Cricetulus griseus: one gene and its partner. The protein of the gene in region 1 interacts with the protein of each later gene in a biochemical or structural test. Links are inferred from orthologs where the notes say so. Each region holds a gene or a part of one and is shown on either strand. Other genes may lie near its edges. The genes, in order: Tnrc6b and protein argonaute-1.

Evidence for each region.
Region 2: the proteins of Tnrc6b (region 1) and protein argonaute-1 form a complex in vitro, tested with the Homo sapiens proteins (2 studies listed by BioGRID and IntAct). The link is inferred for Cricetulus griseus from reciprocal best matches to the Homo sapiens genes TNRC6B and AGO1.

What each region holds. Positions count from the first base shown.
Region 1 is NC_048595.1:378,015,634-378,026,378, forward strand, and holds the start of Tnrc6b (trinucleotide repeat-containing gene 6B protein), read left to right. Parts: upstream 1-5,172; 5' UTR 5,173-5,188; coding exon 5,189-5,245; intron 5,246-8,172; coding exon 8,173-8,194; intron 8,195-10,745.
Region 2 is NC_048595.1:26,587,483-26,597,768, forward strand, and holds part of protein argonaute-1, read left to right. Parts: intron 1-2,240; coding exon 2,241-2,360; coding exon of another isoform or gene 2,361-2,380; intron 2,381-2,704; coding exon 2,705-2,836; intron 2,837-2,961; coding exon 2,962-3,095; intron 3,096-7,140; coding exon 7,141-7,325; intron 7,326-10,286.

The DNA of each region.
Region 1 (10,745 bases):
GGATTCTTCTGTACCACAGCTCAGGCATTATTGGATGTTATTCAGGTATTGACTTTCTCTCGTGTGTGTGTGTGTGTGTGTGTGTGTGTGTGTGTGTGTTGTGTCTTTTGTTTGCCTATATATACTTCAGTTCCTCCAGTACAAACACATGAAAGCAGAAAGAACACAGATTTGCCTCCCACAGGGGCAAGTGCTCGTACCTGGTAGTAAACCCAGCTCCTAGACAATGCCCCTTCTCCTTTTATGTCCAGTCTGCAGAACACGGGTAAGCAGATGGGCTGCCCTGGCCTGGCAGCCCCAGTTTCTAGCCAGGAAGGAGTCCCTGGGGGCTGTGAGGGATTTGAGGAGCCCTCAAATTTCATACATATTTGGAAACTGAGTCCACCTGGAGACAATATTGCCTGGCAAGTAGGAAATCAGTTTATACCTACTGTATGTGCTGAATTGATTCAGTAACAGTTTGGAAGGGAAGAGGTAGGTACAAGAGAAACAAATCCACCTGCCATTTATACTTAGAAACTGTGGATGGTTAAGGGAAACCCACCTCCTCACCTGGCATTTACATTTGTTTTGCATTTACATTGTTTTATTTATTTTTGCATGTTTGGTAAAGTTTTATTACTATTTTTTAATGTGCATTGGTGTTTTGCCTGCATTTATGCCTGTGTGAGAGTATCAGATCCCCTGGAACTGGAGTTACAGACAGTTGTGAATTGCCATGTAGGTTCTGGGAATTGAACCCAAGTCCTCTAGAAGAGCAACCAGTGCTCTTAACTGCTGAGCCATCTCTCCAGCCCCAACATTTGGTAAAGTTTTAATATGTAAATTTAAGGAATATATTTGTATCAGCAGTTTTCAAGCCTAGTTGCATGTTAGAACACTTGGGAGGAGTAGTTTTAAAAATCCCAGGGTGATTCTTATGTCACCAAACTGGAATGCTGCCCGGGTGACAGTTTTGTGTTTGTTGTTTAGGAAAACAAGTCTTGAATTTAGAGTTCGATATGCTTTTGAAACATCCCTTTTTGCTTGTTTCCTGAGTTGCTCTGAGAATGAGCCACTGAGCTAGTGCCCAGGAAGGCATTTGCAGCCCTTTCTCCAATGCTGTAGTGGTTTTTGGCAGACAGAGATTCATCTCCTGTACTCCTGAAATGTGACCACCAGAAGCAAAGATCTAACCCTGCACAGTGGTTCTCCAGAGGCTGAGGCAGGAGAATTGCCTCAAATTTGAGGTCAGTCTGGACTACACAGTGAGTCTAAGACAGCCTGGCCTGCTACTGTGAGACCCTGCCTCAAAATAAACCAAAACAAAATACAGTATTGGTTCCTTACTGCCATTGACTCTTCAGCCCCCACTGAAGGATTTCCCTCCCACTATTGCCTCCTAATTGCAACTTTTTGAGCCTTTGTAGCAAAAAGACTGCCTGGTGGTTTGGGGCCTATCTCCTTAGTTTCCCTTTACTCATAGCAGGTTTTCAAGCTTTCCTTGACTTTGACCTGGGAAACTTTCAAACCATTTATTTTGTAGTTTGCCTCTTAGCTCTCATGGTGCAGTTTTCTGATAGATCCCCAGTAAGTCTCCATGATGGCAACAGGGAATAGATTATTTGATTGAGGTGGTGTCTGCCAGCCTGCTATTACTCTTCCCCTTCAGAATAAAAAGTTGTTTTTTGTTTTTGTTTATCAAGACAGGATGTCTCTGTAGATCGGGCTGGCCTCGAACTCACAAGAGATCCGCCTGCCTCTGCCTCCCTAGTACTGATTAAGGTGTGTGCCACCACAGTGCACAATATTTTGTAGGTAGATTCTTAAAACTCTTTGAATGTCCCATTCCTCTCTCATAATTTATTCATTTCTTATTTTTCCTTTGGCCTTTGTGTTTTACTAATTTATATAATGGTTTATAACATCTTCTAGCAATACTTACAACGATCTTATGTCACCCCAGATAGTGGAATCCCCTTCAGACTGTCTTCTAATTTAAGGACTCCTATTTTGTGGCAAGCAGTCTGTTTTCATATTAAACTTTCCGGGACTGAACCCCTGAATTAGTGTTTTGGTATGCTCCCTCCCAATAACTGGTTCTTTTAGTTAAGAATGGTACTTAATAGCTGCAAGTCTTTGTGCTAAATTGGATTTAATCTCTGCCAGCTTACCTCTAGTTTCAATGGGATTCCTTGCCGCAGGGAAATAAGGTAGATTTTGACCATCTGAACACCCAATGCCTTCCTCTGGCCAGCACACAAATGTGTGCACACACATGCTAGCTAAATAGGCTATTACTATTTGAATATTCCTTATTTTGTAGCCTCACAGTTACAGATATAGGGAGGGAGGGTGGGGGAAAGGAGAGAGAATAAGTACATAGGTAGTTACATGTATATGTTATGTCTGTTTATTGAAAACAATGAGTACATGTTGGTCACCAATTTAGATCCAACTCCATGTGTTTGGTTTTTTCCCCATTGCATTTTTGTAACTCCTTTTTTTTTTTTTTTTTTTTTTTTTTTTTTTTGGTTTTAGAAACCTGGATGCTGTTGTCCTACTAACCTACTTTATTGTCACCCTTCTATGTGCTAGTGCCTTCCCATTGCCATTGGAGTGGGTGTCCTCCTTGCTCTGCTTGGGCTCTGAGTCAGTACAGGGATCTTTTAGAGCTCCCCAAATGGTATTTCTTATAGATAGGGAACACCTGAATTAAGAGGCGAGTCCCACACTGTTTGAGTCAAGCAAGTCAGTGGTGGGCTTTCAAATATAGTTTGGCAAAGTAAAAATTCCCTAAGAAGGTAAAAGGTAAGGAGAAGACTTAAATTCTACCAAGATGCTGTTGAAAAACAAAAAGAAAAAACAGGGAGAAAGCAAAGCTTGCCTCCTAGAAAGCTTTGAAAAGTATTTGCTTTGAATAGAAATATCCTTCTAGTGTACATGAATTTCATTCTCTTCCCTGAATTACTTGTTTATAGGAAAGAATTTGAAAAAGTTAGTTGTTTTTTGAGAATGTATCTTGTTAAAAAACCTTTTTTAGTGTAGCATTTTAAATATAAATTTAATTTTGGAAATTTTAGACATAAAAATGACAACTTGATTTTTAAGCAGGAGATGTTTGGACTGTGACTGTCCCTCTTCTGTAAGCAGTTTCACTATGCAATGTGGGAACTAAGTTGTAGTAACAGGAACTCTCATCCTCTCCTTTTGCTCCATGAGAGGCATCACAGCATCCCTAAATTTAACAGGAAAGTAAATAATTTTTTAAAATACTGTTTTGTGGATTTTTGTTTGTTTGTTTTTGACAAAGTGTCCCTATGTAGCTAGCTTATAACTCAGCAATCCTCCTCACTCTTTCCCAGAGTGTATCCCACATGCTGGAATTACCCACTGCCATGTCTGGTGTAGGAAATTCTTGTTTTCTATGGGGAAAATACTGATGGTCTATTCATGAGTGCCCACTTTAGTTCTTGCCCTGTTTGCTTTGTGTAGTTGAATGTTTTTGACTAGATCCACTTTCTTCCCTAGACTCTACTCCCTCTGGAACCATTTTTGTGGGTTTGCCACTTGCAACTTTATTAGTTCCTTGTTTCTTTAATCTTTTTATCTTGGTCATAGTCTAGATGATGTCTGTGAAGCCATGAGCTAATATGTTATTACTTAAAATCCTAACTGCCATAGGCTGTGTCTGTTCCCTGCTGTGGGGACTTCCCACAGCTATGTCTCTGACTGCTTTCCTCACCAAGGTTCAGTTGGTGAGGGGCTTGTTGCCCAGTGGGAACTCTGTAGTTGAGGTTATATTCTTGGTTAGTTGGCCTTTTTTCTCAGTAGATACATAGAATGAAAGCTGTTGGGCATTAGAATAAATGTTATATTTCTTTCTTTCTTTCTTTCTTTCTTTCTTTCTTTCTTTCTTTTTATGCAAATAGCACGAGGCTTTAATGCAGTTGTTTAACGAGCTAACCCCTAGCTTGGGCCTTTCGTCCACCCACTATGGCGGATGGCTCAGGAAAGACCAATAAATGTTATATTTCAAAGGTACTTTGGATTTGCAATGTAAATTGTATAATTTTAAGATGTAGCACAATTCCTCAACTGGAGGTCTATTAATATGCATTGGTGTTTTGGGGGGGGTTGGTTTTGTTTTGTTTTGTTGTTTGTTTTTGTTTGTTTTTCTGCTGAGTGGAACAGATTGACTTGATTTGTGTTTGTAGGAAAAAGATACAGCTATGAACCCACATACCTTCCTTAAAAACACATATAGTGAGATCAGATCTGAACTCCTTTGGTGGGGATGGGGGAGTGTCGAGACAGGGTTTCTCTGTGCAGCCCTAGGTGTCCTGGAATTCACTCTATAGACCAGGCTGGCCTGGAACTCACAGTGATCCGCCTCCCGAGTGCTGGGATTAAAGGCGTGTATGTGCTGCTGCTGCTGCCACCACCCTTTTAATTTATGCTTTTGTTTTAGGAAAAACAAAAAACAAAAAAACTGGCAAGTGGTGCATACCTGTAATCCCAGCTCTAGGACAGAGGGTTACAGTTCAGAGGCCAGTAGATTCCTAGGGTTTACCAGCCACTCAGTCTACTAAAAACAGCAAGCTCTAGGTTCCATCTCAAAAAAAAAAAAAAAAAAAAAAAGAGGTGGAGGGGCTAGAAGAATGGCTCAGAGTATTTGCTCTTCTTCCAGATCAATTCCTAGCACTCAGTTGGTGGTTCACAGCCTTCTTTAACTCCTGTTCCTGAGATCCGATGCCCTCTTCTGGCCTCCTCAGGCACCAGCACACCTATAGTACAGACAAAACACCCATACCCCTAAAATTAAATTAAATTTTAAAAAAAAGCTAGAGTGATGGAGGAAGAAACCCAGTCTATTAGAAGCCATCTATGTATTATATTCAAAGCAAACCCACTACTAAGTAAAAGTACATTAATAATTCTCTTGAATGTGTCTATATACAGATACTATAGAAATGCTTGTAGGCCTCTTTGAAACCAAGCTTAATGTAATGGATGTTTTATGAAAGGGATGGCAAGCCATGACATGGGAATACCCAACAGGCATGAGTTTTATATGTTCTTTTGGTTTAAGTAAGTTATTAGTACTGTGATCTTTGCTACAGAAGTGGAATGTAGATGTGTGTATATAACCTTTACAGTGTGTTACTTCTTTTACAGAGAGAAGGAGCAAGAAAGGGAAGAACAGTTAATGGAAGACAAGAAAAGGAAGAAAGAGGATAAAAAGAAAAAAGAAGCCACCCAGAAGGTGAGTTGGGCATTTAGGTCTGTCTTCATATTTGCCGGGCATCCATAATTAGTGACTGCCTTACTTGAATACCTGATAATGCTGCCCAAGACATTAGTTTGTTTGAAAGTTTAAAAATTTGAATGGATGGTGGTGGGCTGAATGTCTACTTAGTAAAGTGTGTTTTGAGTTCAGTCCTCAGCACTGGAGGGAGAAAAAAAATGAATGATGCCAGTGTAACTTTATTAAAACATTGACTTTCATTTAGGGCTAAAATTAAATTTCTTCCAAACAGAAATTAAACATGAACCCCTTTTCACTGTATTCAGTGGCAGCTTACTCTTTCCAGAACCATTCCTGAGTAAACCATATTAAATTCCCATTCATGAGAGAGGTGTAAAGAAGGACTCCATTCATTCATTAGGCTGATGCTGCAAAAGGAGCATTGTGTAATGTTGGCAGGACTTGGATTCTAAATGTCCATCTGAGAATTGGCTGTTGTAACAGCACCAGCATTATAAGACATTCAAACATGATTTAGATTTGTTGCTTACAACTGGGAAAAGTATTGACTCTTACACAACTGATCTTCAAAGTAGCATTCCAAGAAATAGTTACAATGGAGTAAAGCCTAAATTGTAGTCATGAATTGGTATGTGGACCAAACCCATTCATTCTTGAATAATTGGGGACTATAGAAAAATGTACGAGGGCTTTTCACTAGAATGGAGCCTGAGCAATTAGTAGTGGGGAGCAGGTTTGTTTGAAGGTACTTTTCCAGAGTGTAGTATAGTACGGTTAGCCTGTCCTTTAATGCAACAATGTAAAAAGCACTCTAGGGAGTCCTAAGAATAGATTGTTTAGGTCAGACTCAGTCTAAGTGTGCTAGGATCTGTTTTGAAGGCTGCTTAGCTACAGGACATGCACTCCACAGATGACCATGTTTTCATAGATGGTAGTGATCCAGAATGATTACCAGCCACACATGACTTTTAAAAACCATGGTAGCTTTCATTTAATTACATTTTGGATAATATATTGGAAGTATATAAAACAGGGCCTACATAAAAATGCACCCTTTTTGTTTTTTTTCGAGACAGGGTTTCTCTGTGTAGCTTTGGAGCCTATACTGGCACTCACAAAAATGCACTTTTTAATATGAATTTGTTTCTCACCATATTTTTGTTTCATCTTTTATTGTTTTGTGAATTTCATACATATATACAATATATATTTTGACTATATTTGCTCCTCCCATTCCTCCCCCCACTCCTCGGATCCACCCCACTGCCAACTCCCAATATCCTGTCTTCTTCATTTTTTTATAGCCCACTGATTGTAATTTGTACTACTCATATAGTCAAGGGTGTGGGGCCATCTACTACTATGCTTAGTAAGGGCCTCACCCTTAAAGAAAGTTTACCCTGCCTCAGAAGCCATCAATTGTCAGTAGGTCCTCAGCTAGAAGTGTGGCTTCTAAGACCCCTCCCCTCTTGGTGCTGGATTATTAACTGGGTTGGTTTTGTGCAAGTGTTTTCTAACTGCTGTGAATTCGTAAGTGCCGTGATTCTGTCAGGTCCAGAACTGTTTTGGTCCTTCTAGCTCTTATTGTCTTTCTGCTCCCTCTTGCTCTGTGGTTCCTGAGCCTTGGGGGCATAGCATTAATTTTTAATAACTCTTCCTACAATGTTTGATGGTCAGTGTAAAAGTGCTTTAGCAGATTGACAGTTTGTAAAAGCGGGTCAGATGTTGTCTTAACAATGTAACAGATCCATGGCTAGGAATCCTGCTTACTTGCTTTGGGATTCTTTTCTTTTGTGGACCTCTTGTGGTTTTGCTTTTATATTATAAGGAGTATATGATGAGTGTCCCTGTGTCATTGCCCCCCACACACACACACACACACACTACCCTGTAGCAATATCAGAAGTAGTTTCCATCTGTCTTCTAAAGATTTCCACATACACATCCCCAAGCCCATTATGTATTTAGCAACTCATCATTTTAGGCTTTTTCATAGAGTCTTACTTATTACTTGAAGTACTTTTAACAAAGCATTCATAAAATTTTGTTCAAAATTTGCACAATTCAGTCTTATATTCTGCTTTATAACTTTTATGATAGCAGCAGGTATCAACTGAACATTGGCATGGCTGTCTGATGTAACCCTTTACCAAAACCCTGCCGGGGGTGGGAGAGGGGTGACTATCTCACTAGATAAATGGGTAATTGAGATCACATAGACTTGGTTTTCTTTTTATATTATTATTTATTTAACTTTATTTTATGTGCATTGGTGTGAAGGTATCAGATCCCCTGGAACTGGAGTTTTAGACAGTTGTGAACTTCCATGTGAGTGCTGGGAATTGAACCCACCCAGGTCCAATTCCACAGCAGCCAATGCTCTTATCCACTGAGCCATCTCTCCAATCCCAGACTTGGTTTTCAAATCTTCCTTTACAACCACGATTGTTGCTTTCAGGATGAGCCCCTCCTGCTTTTTAAGGTTGAGCTCAAAAGTATTTGAGTTCATACTCAGGAGGGAGTCTTTTTGTGTTAATGTTGAGTTTAGTTTCTGGCCATAGCTGTTTGATTTTCTGAAATTAGAGCAATCAGAATGTCTATTCCCAATACAGGGACTATATCATTTAGCAGGTAGATTTTTTTTTTTTTAAGTTACGGGGTTTTTGTTTTTTGTTTTTTGTTTTGCTTTGTTCTGGTGTGTTTGTTTTAAATTTAGATTTCCTCCTAATCTTAGTTGTGTGAGTACAGCTAGACATATGGACATAACTTCTAGAAAGATGTCCAAATTGACTCAGTTGTTTTGGATTTCAGCTAAGCCTGGGCACTGTGTATCCTGACAACTTGAATTGCTTGAGTTAATAGAATTAAAATGCTCTTATAATACAGTACTGAATTTAAAAGCAAATCTGTTATTTGTTTTGCAGGTCACGGAACAAAAAACCAAAGGTAAGATTTTTATCCTCTTTTTGTGTTTAGATTTCACTCTGCTGTTGACTCAGCCTGCAGTGCACTCAGCAGAGAGTGGGTGCACAGTAATTAAGGTGGGTTGTTTGTGGCCACTGAAGAGAGCAGTAATGACAAACTAAAAGCACTCAGCATTGTCTTTCTAGTTGGCCTTACATTTTTAGAAAGCAAAAGGGTAAATATTTTGTTTTAAAACTGTGTGAATCATGATTTTGAACTGAACTCTTTCAGAATTTTTAGTAGAACAGTGACAAACTACCAGCTCCTAGTTTCAGGTGGGAATTGCAGAGTGCACTTACCCATCTTGGTACATGGAATGCATCAAGTCTGAAACTGGAATGTCAAATCTAAAATGTTCACAGCCTTCTGAACTGGGGCCTGGACTGTGGTTTGGTTTGGTTTTTTTTTTTTTTTTTTTTTTATACCAAATTTTGAGTAAGTTAACTTTGCTTTAAAAAACTGATGTGTTGCAAACAGAAGCAAGTGGCCCTTAGGTCATTCTCAATCTAATACTGTCCTTTTCTGTGGGTTTTTTTTTTTTTCTGCTTCCCTAGTTCTAATTATGTAGTTTGTGTTTTGTTTTTAATGATGGTCACTGGATTAGCAAGCCTTAAGAATGGGAGGGAAAATTCCTTGAAATAATGCTTACTTTTGAGCACTTAAACATGTGGTTCTCCATTGGGTGTGCATTAGAATAGTTCAAATAGTCATCAAAATACATGCACTCAGGCTGCTGCCAGATGTTGTGTATCTAGGCTGGAACCCTTGTAGATGTACTTTGAAGTGTCCATGAAACCTCAGAACATGAAAACCATTGCCTTGGCTTAAAAGAAAAAGTCAGATAAGGGTAATGGAGACTTGGATTTGATGAGAGTCCCTTTAATGAGGAGGTGGTTTGGGTGATTTGGTTTGATTTGGTTGATTTTGTGACTAACAGGCCAAAGCATGCCATTCTGTGATAGAAGGCCAGTAAAGGTGGTCCATCTTCATGGGTGTTTTATGTAAGGATAGCTTTCTTAGGAAACCTAATTATGAAAAATAAATTCTCAAATAAGTACATATTAATGTATTATATTTCGAATCAAAGGTTTATCAAAGACTGTCCTGGGACTTTGTAGTGATTTAGAAAGTAAATTGTGAGAAACTGTTGTTATAATTATCTTAATTGGTTAGGAGGATAATGTTCTCCTCCTTGTCTAGTTCAGCCAGTTCCCAACCTACAAGTAGGCTTTCTTCTAGAAAAATCCATCAAATAATATGCATTTTTTCCCTAAGTCTATTTAGAAGTATACTTTGTGAATGGACTTTGGAAACAAATATTTATCAGACTTGGCGGGGGGGGGGGGGGTGGATTCACTATATAGCTATAGCTAATCTGGACCTCATGGTGTTGGACAAGCTGGCCTTGACCTTAAAATGATCCTCCTGCCTCTGCCTCCGAAGTGCTACGATTATAGGCACATGCTAGTGGCCTATTAAAGGACTTTTACAGTGGGCATTGGTGTTTCTTGACCAGCCAGGCTCTGTGTTGGTAAAACATAAGGAATATGGTAGAACTTGGGTTCCTAAGCCTGGCCACTTAAGCCTGCTTCTAGTTTATAGAAAACAAAGCTCACTAGGCAGTTTTTCTCCAGATGGTAATAACGATACCAGGTTTTCACGAGTTCGAGCACACGCACACAGAGTTTTCTCTTCTGCCAAAGTTTTAAAAGTCAAACTTTCCTTCCTACGTACTTCCCTCTCCTTGGGTCTTTTTCATACCTACTGTAGATGAAACATACTTCCCTGTCTCCTTAGTCTTCCTACTCCCTCAATGAGAAAATCAAGTCACATTATCCTAAAGGGAGGGAGATGAGGCCTAGCTTGGGTCTCTAAGGATTTAATTGTTGGAACCAGGGAAAAGGCGGGAAGTTTTAAAAAGCGCATACATATGTACATGCGTGTATACGTTTCTATTTCTATTTGAGGAGTGTCAGACTCACCAGCCTTGCTAGGTTTGTTCCATTTCTTGGTCAAGTCTTTGTTGGGCACTTTCTACCTTGTTCTTTTCCCTGAGCTGACATTTCTGGGTCCTGTTCCTCCCCCGACTGACATTCACCTTCTTAAGCGATCTGCCCTTAACTCTGAATCTACTCTTTCCCCAGCAGAGAAAAAGAAAAGACTGTGTTGGTGCCATGTCTTGGGTTGTACAAGGACTGAAGTAAGATTTTTCTGTATTTCAGAAAAACAGTGGATTGGTTTTTTTGTTCTTCCTTTATCTTCCACTATTAAAAATAGTACAGTAAGAATCCCAGAGAGGAGAGTAGGACAAGGACTTCAGTTAGTTCTCTGAGGACATGGGCTAGCTGTGCCTACTCAGCTAAAAAGAAGAAAAAGCACTTGGGCAAAAATTTAGATTCTCTTTTGTAGATATTAGACAGGAGCAAAACAGTCCCTATAATCAGGCACTAGGTCAGATTTAACTAGGTGAAATTTAACAGGGAAAAGGGTAAGGCTAGGGTTAAAAGCCCAATTACATGAACTACATAATGGC
Region 2 (10,286 bases), about 350 Mb from region 1:
GTTCTGTGGCATTAAGTACATTCACACTGTTGTTTGACTCTCATCACTGTCTATCTCCAGGACTGTGCCCATTAAAGACCAACACAACACCCACCCCTAACACCCTCCCAACACCCTCACCCCACCCCACCACCCCCTGCCTCCAACCTTGGCAGCCTCTGTTCTACTTTCTCTTTCTAGGGATTGACTACTCTAGGTTCTTTATCCAAGGATAGGCATATATTTCTCCTTTTTGACTGGCTTATTTCTCTTAGTTCGATGTCCTTAGGGTTACCCATGTTGTAGTGTGTTGGGATTCTCTTCCTGCTTAAGGTGTTATACACTTCTGTATGTGTAGACCTTACTTGGTTTATATTTTCTAATGCTGATGGGCACTTGAGTAGCAACTATGTACAGACCCCAAAGTGGAGTTTGGTTCATATGATAGTTACATATTTAGTGTTGTGAGGAATCACAACACCGTCTTCCACAGCATGGTTCATATGGTAGCTACATATTTAGTGTTGTGAGGGGTCACAACACTGTCTTCCACAGTAGCTTCAGGGTCAGAGTTCCAGTTTCACTGCAGTCCTTGTGTAGTTTTCTAGCCGTGTTAGTTCTGAAGCTGTAAGTGCCTGTGGAGGGCTACTTTCTGAAAGCATCTTTAGGAAAGTAAATTTCAACAATTCTGGGTGCTCATGTGGAATTTAGAAGCAGGTGCCCTTGGCCTGGCTTTCCTTCCTATTGTTTAGTGTGAACTTTGGCTGCTAGGATTAAAGCCAGCGTACACAGAACATTGACCGTGTGGAGCAAGTTACACATCATCTTGAGACAGTTGAGATAAAGAAGTTGAGTCTCAGATCAGTTAAGAGATGAACCCAAGGTAACGTTATTTAGAAGTACAGATCTTCACTTCAAACACAAGTCTCCTGAGACCAGTTGGTTTTCTACTGTTAGCTCTCCTGTCCCTGTGTCCTGATTAGAAGTCAAAGTCTTTTTTTTTTTTTTGTTGGTGGTGGTGGGGTTTGAGACAGGGTTTCTTTGTGACTTTGAACTAGCTCTTGTAGACCAGGCTGGTCTTGAGCTTACAGAGATCCGCCTGCCTCTGCCTCCCAAGTGCTGGAACTAAAGGTGTGAGCCACTACTGCACAGCCAGAAGTCAAAGTCTTATTTTGTCACTAAGTATTGGTTTTTGTTTTGTTTTGTTTTTTATTTATTTACTTATTTATTTGATGTGCTATCAGAGCCCATAGAAATGGCTCTGCTTTATCTTGACTTAAGGTCAGTGAGTTGAGACCTATCTTTACTCTTTCAAGGCTAAACTCATAAGACCTAAAGGCCTAAGGCATGGCTATTGAAGTGTGTTTGTCCTAAGGAAACTACAGATGGTGCCCAACATGGGGCATAAACAGATGGTCCTCAACATACAATGTGCACTGGTGTTTTGCCTGTATATACTCTGTGTGAGGGTGCTGGATCCCCTGGAACTGGAGTTAGACAGTTGTGAACTGCCTTGTGGGTGCTGGGAATTGAACCCCAGTCCTCTGGAAGAACAATCAGTGCTCTTAACTGCTGAACCATCTCTCCAACCTCTTGGCATTGTTTTTGATCTCCATCTTGTGTGTAGGACAGAGGAACCAAGTAGCAGGATGTTCCTTATACTAACAATACTGCCAGCCAATGGGAATAGTGATTTCTGTGGCTGGAGATTCAGCTCACTCAGTAGAGGGCTTGCTTAGTATGCATACGGCCCTGGGTTCATTCATTCACACGTACACACAATGCTCCCCAACACACACAAAAGCAAAAAGGAAATAATGATTCCTACACTTTCTATATCTCAGGGACTCAAGAATTTTGAGCCATTTCTGCTCCTCCTGGTTGGTTACAGACAGAGCAATGTACTTCCTGCCACCATTGGAGAGCTGCCATAGGCATCTAGTTTGCTTATATTACATTGGGTTTTTAATATTCAAAAGAGCTGTGTACTTAGTCCTTGGGTAAATAATAATGTGTGCTATAATTTACTGAGTGCAGTGTTCCAGAACTGTGCTCAGCTCTTTAGTGTTTTATTTAATCTTTAGACACCCTGTGGGCTTGTAATTATTCTCATTTAATACATGAGACCTGATCACAGACCTGGTCACAATGTATTTTTGTATAAAGGACTCTGTAGTCCTTTTCCCACTTCTGTTAGCTAAGGTACTGTAAAAGGATAGGCTGTGCTCAGACTGTAACTCCTTCTCCACTCATTTTCTCAGGTCTGTAACATTGTGGCCGGGCAGCGGTGCATTAAGAAGTTGACTGACAACCAGACCTCAACCATGATAAAGGCTACAGCTAGGTCGGCCCCAGACAGACAGGAGGAGATCAGTCGCCTGGTCAGTGGGACTGCTGAGCAGTGCATGCTTGTTCACTGAGCCTTTGGGGCCCTTGGTAGGGTAGATGCTTTCCTTCAGGAAACCCTGACTGGACTTATTGTCTGGGACTTTGCAGGCTGCTCTTGCTTCTTGATCCTTCAGCTGCTCTTTCTCTCTTTCCCTCCTTTCTAACTCAACTCCCATTTGCACTCCCACTCCCTTCATTTTCTATTTCTCCTACCCCCTTTTCAGGGCTATTTCTTGGCAGCCTCAGCTTCTCTTCAGGGCTCTGTCCTTGGGACCCAGAACATGAGCAGTATTGCCAAGCTGCTGGTCTCCTGAGATCCCCTTCTTTTGCCCCGCAGATGAAGAATGCCAGCTACAACTTAGATCCCTACATCCAGGAATTTGGAATCAAAGTGAAGGATGACATGACGGAGGTGACGGGGCGAGTGCTGCCGGCGCCCATCTTGCAATATGGCGGCCGGGTGAGCAGGGTCAGGGCCAGACAACATCTCTGGGGCATATGGGGGTAGTTGGGTTACATAGCTTAGGGGCTTTTGCTCCCTCCTCACATGGCTCTACTGAGGCTCACCTGGGCGCCCCCTCTACCTGTCCCTAGAATCGGGCCATTGCTACACCCAACCAAGGTGTCTGGGACATGCGTGGGAAACAATTCTACAATGGCATTGAGATCAAAGTCTGGGCCATCGCCTGCTTCGCACCCCAAAAACAATGTCGAGAAGAAGTGCTCAAGTAAGGATGGAAGAGAGTTGGGTTTTGGGGATGGGGGTGGGTGGGGGTGGGAAGGATCCCAGACCTGTTGATCTTATAACCTCCAGGGGTCTAGATTGATCTGTCTTTCCTCTTTTAACTCTGTTTTGTTTTTTGGTTTTTTTTCGTGACTCACATTTCTGCCTATTTTCTATGCATATGTGATCAGAAGACTTGAGGAGCCATATCTATATCAGACATGAATTTTAGGGTATGACTCTCCTAAAGGAGGCCTGAGTCATTTTATTGTTCTAATTATCATAATTAGTAATAAGTAGTAGTGGTAATAACCATAATGCTTATGCTAACATTACACTTAAGTGACTAATTTATGTTCTTTCATCTTGATAGTGAGTAGGTGGTGTCTTAGTTGTTTTTCTATTGCTATAATAAACACCGTGACCCCTTATAAAATAAAGAGTTTATTGGGCCTTACAGCACCAGAGGATGAGTCCATTACCATTGTTGCAGGATAGGCCACATGGCACTGGAGCAATAGCTGAGAGTTTACATCTGATCAAACAAGAGGAGAGAGGGAGTGAACTGGAATGGCATGTGCTTTTGAAACCTCGAAGTCCATCTTCCAGTGACCCATCTCCTCTAACAACGCCACCCCTCCTAATCCTTCAAACAGTTTTACCAACTGGGGACCAGGCATTCAAATATATGAGCCTATGGGGGCCTGTTCTCATTCAAACCACCGTATGAGGTAATATTTCAGGAGACTAAGGCTGAAAGAGATTGAATAACTTGTCCAAAGTGTGCACATCAGGAAAGGTTCAGATCTGAGCTTCTAATTAGAAACATTTTTTTTTGCTATCAAGGACTAGCAGCTGGTCCTCTGCTGTACTCATCAGGACATAGTTAAGTGAGCTGCAAGTGCCCTGAAATAGGTGCACATGAATTGAGAGGCAGGCCCCCTCATCATCCTTGAGAAGCTGGGAGTACATGACAGCAAGGAAGAAAACGATAACACAAATTAGCTTAAAGAAACAGGTTAGAGAATTAACAGCCTGACTGAGTAAATAAACAAGTAGCAAAGTCACTTGACACTTTCCCTATAGTCTTTAGTTTTTAAAGTTTTATTGAGTTAGCTTACAACACCAAAAAGTGCACCTATATACAACTATGGTTCAGACTCTGCTGTCTTTTTATGTGGTGGCTCTGGAGATGGAGAGTGGATCATTGTATTCTGGTAATGAGGAAATCAGTGGAGCTGACCATTTTGGTCATGACAAAGGTAATAGAGATTTGTGCTCCTGTTGGATCCAGGCCTTCTAGGCCCTTGTCCTCCCTTCCCCCTGCCAGGCAGACACGTAGCCACCTTCATAATTGTAATTTCTCATCACTGGAATTTTTTGGTTTCCCTATTTATTTTTTAGTCTCCTTTCCTAGATTTGTTAGATTTAGGCCAGGCTGTTCTTGCATTTGGTTTGGCATTGTAGCAATACTGGAATACCAGGCTAGTCAGATTATTTATGCCATAATAATCTCATTGGTAGCTCTTTTTCCTACTTTTTTTATCCTGCCCTTGTCCGAGTGTTTGTTTTTTTTTTGTGTGTGTTTCTAAATAATCTATAGTTTTGACCTTTCCGGTTCACCAGAAATTGATAAACCTAGGATCTCATGTTTGGAAGAGTTCAGTGCATTAAGCACCCTTTTTTCTCAGTGACCCCTACATGCAGAGCATAAAAAAGTAACTTGTGTATGAGGATCAGTGGTACCTAATTTAATGCATGATTCTGGGCCAAAGATAAAGATTTCTCAGCCATGAAAACTACGTTATGTAGTAGAGACTCCCTGAGACTATGCATAGAAAGTAGAAATTGGAAATAGAATTTAGAAAAACTGGAAAGTAATGAGGCAAATGTTCCTAAGGACATGAGACTCAGAGTATAGAGAAAAACATTCTTTTCACAAAGACAGTGGGAGAAGCAGAGGCTGCTGTGTGGAGTTGGGGAAATTTGTCAGTGATGGATAAACATAGTCAATCCTATTTTTTTTTATCTGTCTTCATCACTGTGGTTGTGTCATTGTTTGGATACAGCCTTCCACATGCCTCTGCCTCTGCCTCCCTCCCTCCCGAGTGCTGGAATTAAAGTATGCCACCACTGCCTGGCTGGTAAAAAAAGAGTTTTGATTAAGGTTTTAGTAGCTATACTACATTTGTATATAAAGCAGACCATTAAAGCCCTATTATAGGAGGCAATGATTAGCTTGTATTGAGTTTTTCATTTATTTGTTTATTCATTTAGTCATTCAGTTTTTGAGTGGGGTATTCTTGGGATGATGTATCTCTCAGGCTGGCCTCAAATTCATGGTGGTTCTCCTGACTCAGTCAGAAATGTCAGGATTATGAGTGTTATATTTGCTTTGAGACCTACAGATTATATGTTTTTTAATGTCATTATTTATTAATTTTTATTTGTTTAAAAATATTTTATAAATAATGTAGCTAGCAGACATGATACCTCATGCCTATAATACCAATATTCAAAATGCACAGTCGGGAAATTGCCTTATGTTTGAGGCCATCTGGGGCTACATATAGTGAATACCAGGCTAGTCAGGCCTACATAGTGAAACTATAGCTCAAAAAAACCCAAAACAATTGTCTTAGGGTTTCTGTTGCTGTGATAAAACTCCATGATAACTTGATGAGGAAAGAGTTTATTTTGCTTACCGTTCCACATCTCAGTCCGTCACTGAGGGAACTTGGCAAGAACTGAAGTAGAAGCCATGGAGGAGTGCTACTTACTAGCTTGTTCAACCTGCTTTCTTATGCACCAGAGACCCTGCCCAGGGCTAGCAATACCTCCATGGGCTGGGCCCTTCCATGTCAATCATTAATTGAGAAAAGGCCCGAAAGGCTTTTCTGCAGGTGAATCTTAATGGAAGCATTTTCTCAATTGAGGATCCCTCTTCAAAGATGGCTCTAGCTTTTTGTTATGAAAAGTTAGCCAGCACAATAATAGTAATAATAATGTAGAAATAATATAGTCCTACATAGTCAACATTCATAGTTTTATCATGTTTACTTCAGTCTTTTTAAAAAATACAAATTTGACATTTTTTGATGCCCTGCATTCTGGTTTCATTCTTCTCTTCTGATGCAGTTGCTGGTGTGGATTATAATCTTCTTACCTAGTTTTTTTTATGGATGCATATCATTTTAAATTTGTATAAAATAGGCTGTGTCTACATATTTTTACTAAATATGGAAAAAAAACGAGTCCTGAGCTATCATTGATATGTATGCCGTATATATTTTTGAAACATTCATTCACTGCTTTTATTAATTAAGTTGTTCAATGCTGAGTGTGAATCCAACCCCTTGTACAAGCCAGACAGGCACTTCACTGCTGGTTGCTTTGCCTTAAATGATAATATTTTTATGAATTAAATTGCTTGCCACTCATTTTTGTATATATGTATATATATATATTAATATATATATATATTCAAGTTAGGGAACAAGCTTGTTTCACATGTAAGTCCCTTCTCCCTCTCCCTCCCCTCACCCCCTCATTTTTGTATATTTATGTAGCTTGATTATTTTACTGTACTATAGCCACCCTCTTTATCAACTCTGTTGCCTTTCTCAGGGTAAAACCTAAAGCCAGAGGAAAGAAACTCGTTTTTCCCTGAGCATTTATCTTCTGTGCTTCCATCCTTATTTACTTTGGGCACAAAGGCCTTACACTTAGGCATCTGTTTGTTGTTTGTTTTCCCCTGTGGACATGTAATGGGGTACAGACATCCATAGGTCTCACTCAGACAGAGAAAGACGAGAGCCCTGAGAAATCCCACAAGTCCCTTGTCTGTTCTCTTCAGCTCCTTTTGTGTTCTCTTTAGTTGAGCAAGCTCTGCCTTGTTTTCCTCTACTATAAATGTAATTTTTCCATCTGCTGTGGTTGGATCTTTCATGTTAGACTCTCATGGTACTGAGTACCTAAGATGGAGGCATTTGGTCCATCAGACTCAGTGAGATTTATTACATCTTGCCATGACCATGTTTGTGCCACAGGAACTTCACAGACCAGCTGCGGAAGATTTCCAAGGATGCGGGGATGCCCATCCAGGGTCAGCCTTGTTTCTGCAAATATGCACAGGGAGCAGATAGTGTGGAGCCCATGTTCCGGCATCTAAAGAACACCTACTCAGGACTGCAGCTCATTATCGTCATCCTGCCAGGGAAGACGCCTGTGTATGGTACAGTTCTCCTGGGACAGTAATAATGATAGGATTCGCTTAACAATAGTTCTCTAGGGGCTTGTAGGGAGGAGTAAGTGAAGAATTTTGGCTTTATCCAGAGATGTTTATTAATGTCAGTTTTTTTGTTTGTTGTTGTTGTTGTTTTTAAATCAGAGAAATACTGCCTGAACTGTTGAGTCACATTTGGTTTTACTTACTTGTCACACTCATTGTCACATTTTCTAGGCTCTTCTGTGATAGGGTTTTGTGCCAGGCTGATGTAGTGGGACACAGAGTTGGGTCAGGCCAGATAGCTGTCACTTGGGAGTGTGGTATATATTAGGATATTATGAGCTCAAGCTGAATATGGGGTATTCTGCTATAATTCTGCCTAGTAGTAGCTTGGACTTTTTGCAACATTTCTCCTTGTTTCCTCTTTCTTATATTGCAAACACCTATTAGTCTATTACTCTGTATTCCTCTATTATCTTGGCCTGTTTTAAAAATTGTACTGTCCCTTTTACTTCACTTCTCTGTTTTTGTTCCCATCCAGTTTGGGTACCTTTGGGACGTCATACCTCTAAACCTTTGAACATGTACAGATTAACTGCCCAAAGCACATTCTAGCAATTTTGCAATGTCTTTAAGCATCTTTTTTCCTAATGTTTTTCTTTTTTTTCTTATTTTTTATTAGTTCAAATTAGAAACAAGCCTGCTTCACATGTCAATCCTCTCTTTCCCCTCCCCCTATTGTTTTTCTTTTTCTTTCTTTTTTTTTGTAATATTTTTATTAGTTCAAATTAGGAACAAGCTTGTTTCACGTCTATCCTTCTCCCTCTCCCCCTCACCTACCCCCTAACCTCATCGATCCTCCACTCCCCAGGCAGGGTAGGGCCCTGGACGGGGGCTCCCCAAAGTCCACCACATCATTCTGGTCTGGGCCATCCCTTCCTGTGGGATGGGCTCTCAAAGTCCCTTCTTACACCAGGGAAAAATACTAATCCACCACCAGGGGCCCCCTAGAGTGCGGAGGCCTCTTCATTGACATCCATGTTCAGGGGTCTGGATCAGTCCTGTACTGGCCTCCCAGGCAGCAGTCTGGGGTCAATGTGCTCCCCCTAGTACAGGCCAGCTGTTTCTGTGGGTTTCATTTCACCAGCCTGGTACTGACCCCTTTGATCTTCATTCCTCCCTCTCTGCAACTAAGTTCCAGAGTTCAGTTCAGTGTATATCTGTAGGTGTCTGCCTCTGCTTCCTTCAGCCACTGGATGAGGGCTCTAGGATGGCATAAAAAGTAGTCATCAGTCTTATTATAGGGGAAGGGCATTTAGGTTATCCTCTCCATCATTGCCTAGATTGTCAGTTCGTGTCATCCTTGAAGGTCTCCAGAAATCTCCCTAGTGCCAGATCTCTCCTCGGACCTATAATGGCTCCCTCTGTTATGGTATCTCTCATCCTGCTTCCTCTATTCTTCCTCCAACTCAACCTTTCTGCTCCTCCATTTCCTCCTCTCCTCTCCTCTCCTCTCCTCTCCTCTCCTCTCCTCTCCTCTCCTCTCTCCTCTCTCTCCTCTCCTCTCTCCTCTCCTCTCCTCTCCTCTCCTCTCCTCTCCTCCTTTCACTCTGGCAGCTCCCTCTGCCCTACCCTCATGCTCCCAATTAGCTCAAGAGTTCCTGCTGCTTCCCATTCCTGGGGTCCATGCATTTTTCCCTTAGAGTCCTTCATGTTTCCTAGTTTCTTTGGTGAAGAGGATTATAGGCTGGTAATCCTTTGCTCTGTGTCTAAAATTCATATATAACTGAGTACATAACATGTTTGTCTTTTTGTGACTGGGTTACCTCACTCAGGATGGTTTCTTCTAGTTCCATCCATTTGCCTGTGAATTTCAAGATTCCATTGCTTTTTTTCTGCTGAGTAGTACTCCATTGTATAAATGTACCACATTTTCTCAATCCATTCTTCAGTTTTGGGTCATCTAGGTTGCTTCCAGGTTCTGGCTATTACAAACAATGCTGCTATGAACATGGTTGAACATATGTCCTTGTTGTATGGACGTGAATTATTTGGGTATATGCCCAAGAGAGGAATTGTTGGATCTTGAGGTAGACTGATTCCCATTTTTCTGAGCAACTGCCATACTGATTTCCAAAGTAGTCTTACAAGTTTGCACTCCCACCAGCAAATGAGGAGTGTTCCTTTTTCTCCACATCCTCTCCAGCATAGATTGTCATTGGTGTTTTTGATTTTAGCCATTCTGACAGGTGTGAGGTGGTATCTCAGAGTTGGTTTGAGTTGTATTTCTCTGATGACCAAGGATTTTGATCACTTTCTTAAGTGTCTTTCAGCCATTTTAGATTCCTCTGTTGAGAATTCTCTATTTAGTTCTGCACCCCACTTTTTAATTTCATTGTTTGGTGTTTTCGTGGTTAGCTTCTTGAGTTAATTTTTTTTTTTTTTTAAGATTTATTTATTTATGTATAGTGTTCTGTCTGCTATCCCTGCAGGCCAGAAGAGGGCACCAGATCTCATTACAGATGGTTGTGTGAACCACCATGTGGTTGCTGGGAATAGAACTCAGGTCGTCCATGTGTGTGTCCGCTGCCCCCCCCCCCAAAAAAAAAAGAGTATGTAAATTTTGCTGGGTGTTGGTGGCGCATGCCTTTAATCCCAGCACTTGGGAGGCAGAGGCAGGCAATCTCTGTGAGTTCGTGGCCAGCCTGGTCTCCAGAGCAAGTGCCAGGATAGGCTCCAAAGCTACACAGAGAAACCATGTCTCAAAAAAACCAAAAAAAAAAAAAAAAAAAAAAAAAAAGAACTTAGTAAGAGCAGCCAGTGCTCTTAATCTCTGAGCTATCTCTCTAGCCCTTGTTTTTCTTTTTTAACGAGTTGTTTTTCTTATTCTACATGCAAACTTCCTCAACAGCCACTTACTCCGTAGCCTGCTTCCCTTTATCTCATTCTCCTCACTCAGCTGTGGGA